Canis lupus familiaris: one gene and its partner. The protein of the gene in region 1 binds, or shares a complex with, the protein of each later gene. Links are inferred from orthologs where the notes say so. Each region holds a gene or a part of one and is shown on either strand. Other genes may lie near its edges.

Region 1 (4,841 bases):
GGTCACTTGTCATTCCCAAACAGTTGCTAATATAAAGCTTAGGTGCATATCAACTATTTTTATGGTTTGGATTATTTCCTATGGATAGATTCCTAGGGCCAGAATTGCCCTCTGACCACTCCTTTATGAATGGTACGGCTTCTCTAGACTCCATAAGGGTAGAGTCAGGGTTACCAACCCATAAAAATCCCAACCATGAACCCAATTTCTACAATAACTTTGGATGTACGAGATGGTGTGACACCCCCCCAAACACACACACACAAGGCTGATGCTGCTGTCACAGCCTGTGATCTTAAAGTAGGTACAGACCCGGTTCTGTAAGTCTGTTCCCTGCTCCTGGGACCCTCAGGCTGGCCAGCCCTAGGCCAGCATGGTACACAGTCTGCCTAATCTGAAGAAATGAAGGGGGCTGCTCTCTGTTTCCATGTGTTCCTAAAGGTGGTAGGAGCACAGGGTTTTGTCTTCTCTAAAAGCTCTCCAAACAGGTGGGTGTGGGGATGGAGGTCTTACCAAGCAACGTCGTAAATGGTCCTGGAGTGGAAGCCCGACAAAGTGCAGATACATTTCCAGCTTGGGTCAGAGCCGCTGCATGCCACCCCTGTACAACAGACTTCTCTGAGCCGAAGACAGGTCTGTGTCCGGGGGACCTCGGGAGGAGCTGCTAATCTGCCCTCCCTCACCCCTATCTTCAGTCATGAGTCCTCATCCTTACTGATCTGCCTTACATACTGTGGTCAGACAGGGATTTTTACAGCAGAATTCTAAGAAGGAAAGGTCCTGTTCCTTAAAAACTTTCCAGCAGACTATGTCTGACTAGTTAGCCTGCCTTTTAAGGCCACCAACCAGCCCACCCAGCCACCTGACCCACCTTATTACTCCCCAAATCCTTTATATCCTATGCTCCAACTAAAGGGATCATGATTCCTGGCATAAATCTAGGCTTTTGCACCTTCAATGCCTTTGCTCGTGCTGGTCTGTTTCAACCCAGAATTATCTTCTCGCGTTAAAATCCTATACACACTTTCAAGTTCAGATGGAATGGCTCCTTTTCCACACAGCCATCCTTGATTCCGCCAGCACTCGCTTGGGAGCCCTCTCGTGGCACATCTCTCTTACTACTCCAGTTTGCTGTGATTTATCTCTAGGTCTTAGACCCTTAATACACCGTAAACCTCATGAGAGAGGAGTCTCCTTTAGGTCTTGGACTGGCCACTCACCTTGCTCGTTGTCTGGTAGATACTGGCGCCAGATACGCACAGTACGGTCATCACTGCAAGATGCCAAGCGCTGGCCACTGGGGTCAAAGGCCAAGCTCCACACAGTGGATTCATGGCCTTCAAGGGTGGCACAACATACCCAATCATCCTCTTCCTCCCGGTAGAGCTTTACTGTATCATCATAGCTGGCAGAGGCTAACAGCTGGGGGAAGGAAGGGAACACAGCACTTGTCTATAGGGCTCAGGAAGTGCCTATAGTACCAGTGCCTCTCCCAGCTAGGACAGTCCCAGAGATCTGTCTCTATAAAGGGATTAATAACATTTTTTCATCACAGACAGAGATCCCCATAGAAGCCAGGTTGAGGCTGAAGAGCAGAGAAAGGCTGGGTACAACTCTCCACACCAAAATTCCTTCCCACTAAGATAACTTCACCCCACTCTTACCTCCTGGCTTGGGTGCCAAACCACATGCTTGACATCCTGTGTGTGAGAGTTGAGGACGCTGACACATTCATACTCATCTTCTTCATCAACTACGGGAAAGAAAAAGAAAGGAGCCCATGAGCTGACCTCGTCAGGGACACAGAGGGGGATGGCTGTTTACTGGTTCCCAACTCCATCGAGATGGATTTAGACTCACCTTCCCAGACCCACACACTCTTATCTCGGCTGCAGGTGGCAAGAAGGTTGCCAGAAGGGGCCCAGGCCACTGACTTGACCTCATTTTCATGGCCCTCTAGAGTAGTTACACACTGTGAAAAGAGAAGAGGAACAAGAATCAAGCAACTAAGATCTCTGGTGTTCTTTGCATGGGTACAGCCCAGCTAGCCCAGGTTGGCTCAGGTTCCTGAACCAGCCCTGGGGAGCAAAAAGGCAACAATCCTGCTCCCATCCACCCTGGTTACCTCAAAGTCATCCTGGTTCTTTTTCCAAATGCAAGTGGTAGCATCGAAACTGGCAGAGGCCAGGTAATTGCCACACGGGGACCAGGCCACCTTCCGCACGGTACGCTGGTGGCCTTCGGAAAGGACAGATTTGCAGATCCAGCTGTCACCTAAGAGCAAAGGACAGGCCAAGCTCTGGAGCTGGGTGCACAAGAAGGTAGAGAAGCACTATCAATCCGATGGGCAATGGGGGGATTATCTGGTCGGTGCATTTAAAAGCTTGCTTTCGGAAAGCTGTAACTACTACTTCCTCCACCTCCCCTGCAGGCATCGTTCTAAAACCACCAGAGGAGTCACCTACCTTATTTAAAACTGTCAATGGCTCCCAAATGCCCTCAGGATAAAATTTAAACTTCACATTGGGTCACAAATTACTCTGCAGATTACATTCCCTCCACCCTTCCCTCCTTTTCCGGCCTCAGCAAGTATCATAACTTCCTCAACAGTTCTGGCCTACTGACGTTTTTGCTTCCTCTACTCGCCAACTCCTTCACCCACAAAGTCTCTCCTACAGTGAATAACGTCTAACTCAAGGCAGCTTCTCACTTAGCCCCCTGGCCTGTAACCTCATTCAGGGTGGGCTTGTCCCAAAGGCCGCGGACTCCCCGAGCCCAGCACGCACAGCACGCGCACGCTGAAGCCCCGGCAGCAGGGGTGGTGCAGCCAGACTGGGCCTGACCTTCGGTGCCCCAGATGCGGACTCTACGGTCACCACCGCACGACGCCAGCAGGGTTCCCGTGGGGTTCCAGGCCAAGAACCAGCACCGGGAGTCCGGGTGCGCCGGGACGCGGCCTAGCAGCACCAGCGAGTCCTTCATGGCGGCCCCCAGCAGGATGCGGAGGAGGTGGACAGAGGCGACCGCGCCGACGGCGAGTCCGGCAGTGCAAACCTCCGCGACGCCCACTCAGGCCTCGGACGGCCTTCAGTCTCCGCCGATTTCCGCCCGAGGGCCCGGGTCTTCCTGGGAACTGAAGTGCCCGCGGCTGCGACCGTGCTGCCCTCTGGGAGTTGTAGTCAATTTGCCAACCCACCCTCCACCCCGCCGGCAGCCAGTACCGTGGGACAGCCTCGAACTACCAGTCCCGTGAGGCCCTGCGCGGGGAATCGGCGGCGCGCCCAGGCTGTGACGCGCGCGGGGGACGGGGCGGGGAGCCGGAGGAGGCGGAGGCAGAGGTGAAGGAAGCCGGAAGTGGATCGGGCCCGGGTCGGCCCGGGCGTTGCGGGTTTAGGGCCTGGGATCGCCCTGCCCCAGGCAGCTGCGGAACCCGTGACGGAGCGGAGCGGCGCCATACCGGCCCTGAGGCCTACTGACCGGTGAGGAACAGGGGTCGGTGTGGGGGAAGGTCCTTTCTGGCCAGAGGTCGCACCCCAGAGCACTGTTCCCAGATCCCGGATCCCCGATCCCCGCGGCCCAGCCTGGCCCCCGACCCCTGGGCACTCTTTGGCCGAGATCGCGGACCTGGGTCTCTCTCGCATCAGTAGCCGGTACCAGCACCCCCAGTCCGTTCTGCCCCCATCCTGGCCGGCTCGCAGCCCTCTCCGGGTCCCTATTCCGAACCTCCGCAGCCCCATTCCAGGGACCCCATCCCCGCCCCCCCCCCGACTCCCTGCAGCCCTCCTTTCTGTGCTGGGCCCCAGGTCCCACCCTCTATCCTCCCGTGTGGGCCCTGACAGCGTTGTGTCGGCCTCCCCTTCTGTGAACCCAGCGCCTTGCTCTCCTCCCCGGGACAGGCAGGCTCAGCGCGCCCTGCGGAGGTCCGCGGCGACCAGCAGCGACCGCGGAGCGACGGCGGGCGGCCCCGGGCATGTACGCCCCCGGAGGCGCAGGGCTGCCCGGCGGGCGCCGGCGGAGGAGCCCGGGAGGCAGCGCTCTGCCCAAGCAGCCGGAGCGTAGCCTGGCCTCGGCTCTGCCGGGTGCCCTGTCCATCACGGCGCTGTGCACTGCCCTCGCCGAGCCTGCCTGGCTGCACATCCACGGTGGCACCTGTTCCCGCCAGGAGCTGGGGGTCTCCGACGTGCTGGGCTACGTGCACCCGGACCTGCTGAAAGGTGAGGGCGTTGCGCGCCGGCCCTCTTCTTTCTGAGCGATAGGGCCTCCTTGCTGATAGCAGAATGTGGTGCGGGCTGGAGCAGAGATAGCCGGCGGCAGGCTCTTGGCTTGAAGGAAACAACCCCATTCCTGCCTGGTGTTCATGCCCACCAGGTGGCTCTCTTTGGGGTCTGGCCCCTCATTAATTCTGATGTTATTCAGCCAGGCACCTACTTCTCACGCCATGCTAATATGGACTGCTGCTATTTTAGGATACTGCTGGAGGAAGGGCGCTATACAGCGGTATGTGGGGAACAGATAAGGGTGCTAGGCATCACAATTAGCTGTCCTCCTTCTAAGGAGCGTATGGGATATAGGAAGGTTTCTTTGGGCAGCCTGATGGAGGGAGGAAGAGAACTTTTAATGTGGCTAGATTTTAAAAGATATTTTGGGAGATCCCTGGGTGGCTCGGCAGTTTAGCGCCTGCCTTCGGCCCAGGGCATGATCCTGAGTCCTGGAATCGAGTCCCACATTCGGCTCCCTGCATGGAGCCTGCTTCTCCCTCTGCCTTTGTCTCTGCCTCTCTCTCTCTGTGTGTGTGTCTCTCATGAATAAATAAATAAAATATTTTAAAAAAAAGATATTTT
Region 2 (4,577 bases), on another chromosome or scaffold:
TCGGGCTCCCGGTGCATGGAGCCTGCTTCTCCCTCTGCCTGTGTCTCTGCCCCTCTCTCTCTCTCTCTCTCTCTCTCTCTCTGTGACTATCATAAATAAATAAAAATTAAAAAAAAAAAACTGATGTCTAAACCCAACCCCCAAAGATCTTGATTTAATTGATTCCTAGTAGGGACTGGGCATTGAGCTTTTTAAAAAATTCTTCAGGTTGCTCTTATGGGCAGCTCAATCTCAGAACCACTAATGTAAAAGGAGAGACCCAAGGATAGATTGATGGAAAGCACCTAACTTAGGGATCAGAAGGAGAAAGAAAAGCCAGAAGCAGAGATGGAGGTGTGGGGATATTAATAACATTAAATGCAGCAGAAAAATCCAAGTTGATGAGAGCTGAAATGAGTCTTTGGATTTGTCACCCAGAAAATTACCTGTAAGAAAGCAGTTTCAGTAGAGAGATGAAGGCAGAAGCCAGCTTGCAAATGCGGAAGTAAGCAGGAACTGAAAATGCAGTCCTAGGCTCTGGCAAGGAAGGGAGAGGGCAAAGGATGGATAACGGATTTAGACAAAGCTAGAACAATGATGACAAGGGTAAGGGAAACTGAAACATGTTTTAGAGCCCAAAGGGAAAGATCAAATAGAGGAAGTAAGAGTGAAAATATAGGAGGGAGGATGGGGGACTGGCAAAATAAGCAGAAGGGAATGAGACCAAGGATGTGGGAGCCTGGGTCGTCCCCCTTAGAGAGGACAAGATTTCCTTCCTCCTCTGAGGTTGTAGAAAAAGATGGGAAAGGGGAAACAACAGAGAAATGGGGAGGTAGAAAGGAGAGCACAGGGAGTTCACACAGGATGGGCGTGATGTCTTAAGCCTAAGGTTTTGTTCTATTACCGATAGCACCCCTGTAATCAGAAATGCTACTAGGAGAAACAAGTCAAGCTCCACCTTCTCCCCCAACAACTAACTCCTAGGCTTATCACTTGATTAGCCACAGAATTTGAAAATGAAGACAGGAAAAAAAAAAAAAAAGACAAAGCTGCTTCTTCACAAGGCTCTGTCACCCACGAGGCTCAGAGAAACACAGCTTTTAAAAAAGAAATGTATTGCCCCTCATTTTAGGCATTTTCTCTTTAAGGCTCATTCACACAAGCTGCATTATACACTTTATATGCTACCTAAAGCTGAAATTAAGTCTCATCCCTTATTAAACTTCTCTGGTTTTCTATTGATTTGAGAGATCTGGATTTATTTCTTTAGAAAGAAAGCAATGTTGCTCTTCTCACATTACTCCCCTGATGAAAATTCTCCTATAGTTCTGCACTGACATACTTTATACATTTACACCTTCAGTATCCAATCCTGACCTGGTATCTAAAACAATTTTTTTTAATCACATTTCCACTCTTTAACCACAAACTCTATCCTGGGGCCCCGCCATTCCCTAACACGTTGTCATCTCCATACTTTTGCTTCCTTTTCTCTGCTTAGTACACTTTCTACCCCCCTTATATCCAGAGCCTACTTACGCTTCAAGGCCTAACTCAAGTGACTCCTCCATAAAGTCTTTCCAGATCCCCGACTCAGAGATTACTATCTCACCTTCCTCTGAATTTCCGGATTTCTTTTTCAGGTTGATGGACTTCTACTACATAAAATTGTTTTAAAAAGTACATTTCTGCATGTATAGGTCTCCACCGGTATTAAACTTTAGGACAAGAATCATCCCCCTTCCAAAGCTGTATCCCCCAAGTGCCCTTCTGTCCTGAGGTGCTATAGACAGAAGTCTGATAGGACAGGAATATGTCAGTTTTGTAGAGATCATTACACTCATAATCATCTAGCTGGGGTTAGGTCCCGCCTCTAGCAAGAGAGGAGTAAGTTAGATTGGCTCCAAAGGTCTTTTCTAACCCTGGCCTCCTTCTACTGGCCCATAATCCTTCCCCACATTTTATTTGTATCCTTATAGTTAGATCTTTCACCCTCAGTCAGCAGGAATCACTGAACATTAGTTAGAGCCAGTCTTTTTAGCCTTCAAAAACAGTACTACACAAGTCCAAAAACAAGGAGTCATAAGGCAATTGTGAAATGGTGTAAAGTGCACGAAATTTGGAATCAGAAGACACGGGCTTTGGTTTTTGCTTTTTCTTTACTGGCAGAGTGACCTCTGGGTGGTTGCTTGGCCATTCTAACCTTCTGTTTCCTCATGTGTACAATGAAGATGGTCCCAGGGGTTTAAAAAAAATACGTGACTCTGTGTGTGTGTGTGTGTGTGTGTGTGTATTCGTTTATGCACTCCAGGCTTGGCAGTGATAAGAAACTATAAAGTCTAGGCCGGGGTACGGGAAACCCATTTTGTCCTCTTCTCTCGGGGGCTTTTGGAGGGGGAGAATCCTCTTTTTTTTTTTTTTTCCCCAAGAGAGCGGCTATGACCTTAGGCCAGTCCCCAGCAGTGCTCTCGGTGGTGGCAGAAGGAATGCGAGTCTAGGGGCTAGGGACCACAAGGGAGGAGACAAGCAGTGCCATCAGGCCAGCTCTGCTTCCTAACCAAGCACCCTAACCGCCTGCTCTGCCCAGAAGTCTTGACAAGGTCAGAAGGGCGTAAGGCCGTCAAGGGAAATGAAGTGATTAAGACCTCCAGCCTCGGCTAACGCCAGGTTTAGGAAGAGCCCAGGTCTTAGATCCACATTCCTGCGTGACTCAGGACCCCGGAGAAAAGGCTTCCCAGGCTTCGGACGAGACCCAGCAAAAACCGGTCTCCACCCCCAGCCCTCTGGTGAGGCTCCCGTTACCCCCCATCTCCACGTACAACGCCAAACGCTGCCCTGGGTAAAATTAATTACCATAAACCTCTAGCGCTTTCTCTTCCATGATCCGGGGCTGCCGGGCAGCTCCCCGCTCAAAGAGGCCGGAGAGCCACAGTACTCTGCTCAGCGTCCAGGAGAGCAGCCCGGACACCCGCTCCATCCTCATGCTCCGCCATCCCTGGCGACTGTCCCACCCGAGCCACCGTCTCTCAGCAGCGGGCCTCGCAATTTATCAACTTCCTGGTCTTCAAAAGGGCCGAGACAAGCCTAAAGATCCCGGGGAGCAGAAGATAGGCGGGACCTGACCGGAGCAGCGCGGAGGACCTAGGGAAGGGCCCCGCAAAGACTACAAGCCCCAGCATGCTTTGCTCAGTTTTGGCGGGACAAGGCGGGGAGAACTCCTTTCAGCACGTGAGGTGCATTGCGTGCTGGGACATATGGGACAGAGATGTATTCTGGGATTTGTAGTCTAGGTCGGGGAAGAGGCGATAGGTAACTGTTACCTGCCACTGTTTGCCTCATTCAGCGCCCCCGATGAGCTGAAAATGAATCCTCAAGAGGTAGGGGAAAGGAGATCTTGATTTCTTTTGCTGGAGGAGCGTGTACAAAGAGTCTACGGTTACTTCTCTGAGGGAGCCGCTTCTTACTTCCTAGTCACGCCGGAAGTGAGTTTCCGTTGCCGTGAAACGGAAGGTGTTGGGAGTCCAAGGAGGTTGATTAGGTGATTAGGTGCCGGGCCGGGGAGGGCTTTTTGATTTTTCCCGTTTCAGAGGAACGGAGGTCAGCACAATTCCCCAACGGCCACCTGAAGATCCTGCCATTCGCCTTCAGAGACAACTTAGAATGAAAGAGCTCTCCCTGGGCCCAGCATATCCAGTAGTGACATACTGCAAATAGATCATCATCCTAAAAAGAATGTCTTAAGTCCTCTGGTGGTCGTGGCTGTGATGAATGCCAGGAACAAGGTGGATGATGTTAGTTTTACCTACCCCTCCCTCCGAGTCTCAAACGTTTATTGGGCACTTACTTTCCCAGACGTGGTGTATTTATAGACGCCGAGAATACAAAGATAGGAGGCGGCCTCTGCCCTCCAACAGCTCATAGACCTGGGAGGGAGCCAATCCCTGAAGTTGAGTGATTTGCGATTAGAAACAAACCAGACTTTGCTACCAAATGCCATCTCTATTGAGAAGGATCATTTTGCAGAATTACCCCCATGCTAACATATCCCGTTTATCTTTATAAAGTTTTGTTTATTGTCTGGCTGATTTAGACTTTAGGCTCACCAGGTTAACAAGGGAATAGTTTACGCCCCAGGGAAATTGTGTTCAGGGTTTTAAGAATTTCCCTGCCATCTGTCCCACTCCACTCCACGGCAACTAAGAGGATATAACACCGACTTACTTGTAGCCAAATTTAGGACGCCGAGATGTCCCCTGCTCTGAGGCCTCCCTGCATCTCCAAGCGTAACTGATACCCTCTTTCACTGCGCCCAGAGCAGATTACAGCACCGAACACCGTTGCATTTGTTCATTTAACGTGTGTGTCTCCATCAAGTGCCTCGTGGGTCAGGAGCTTCTTTATTTCTGTATTTCCAACGCAAACAGTAGGTGCTTAATATATGTTTCTTGAATGAACTAATAACTAGATGTTGTCCAAAGAATAAAGTGAATGAAACTTTACCGCCGCCTTTTGGAAAGACCTCAATCAAAACCACTTACTGAATCTCAATGAGAGAGCACCGTGCGTGGCATAGGTAGGGGGCACGTAGAGGAGCTTTC

The links. Proteins that work in one complex are often made in the same cells at the same time.
Region 2: CIAO1 (region 1) and CIAO2A share a complex: the UniProt entries of both Homo sapiens proteins name them as parts of the CIA complex. The link is inferred for Canis lupus familiaris from reciprocal best matches to the Homo sapiens genes CIAO1 and CIAO2A.

Annotation. Positions count from the first base shown.
Region 1 is NC_049238.1:34,685,245-34,690,085, forward strand, and holds the start of CIAO1 (probable cytosolic iron-sulfur protein assembly protein CIAO1), read right to left. Parts: upstream 3,161-4,841; 5' UTR 2,983-3,160; coding exon 2,844-2,982; intron 2,275-2,843; coding exon 2,126-2,274; intron 1,973-2,125; coding exon 1,861-1,972; intron 1,754-1,860; coding exon 1,665-1,753; intron 1,423-1,664; coding exon 1,221-1,422; intron 602-1,220; coding exon 514-601; intron 1-513. Other genes in the region: TMEM127 (transmembrane protein 127), read left to right, coding at 3,971-4,214. UniProt on the Homo sapiens protein: Key component of the cytosolic iron-sulfur protein assembly (CIA) complex, a multiprotein complex that mediates the incorporation of iron-sulfur cluster into extramitochondrial Fe/S proteins.
Region 2 is NC_049251.1:29,006,264-29,010,840, forward strand, and holds the start of CIAO2A (cytosolic iron-sulfur assembly component 2A), read right to left. Parts: upstream 3,137-4,577; 5' UTR 2,963-3,136; coding exon 2,833-2,962; intron 1-2,832. UniProt on the Homo sapiens protein: Component of the cytosolic iron-sulfur protein assembly (CIA) complex, a multiprotein complex that mediates the incorporation of iron-sulfur cluster into extramitochondrial Fe/S proteins.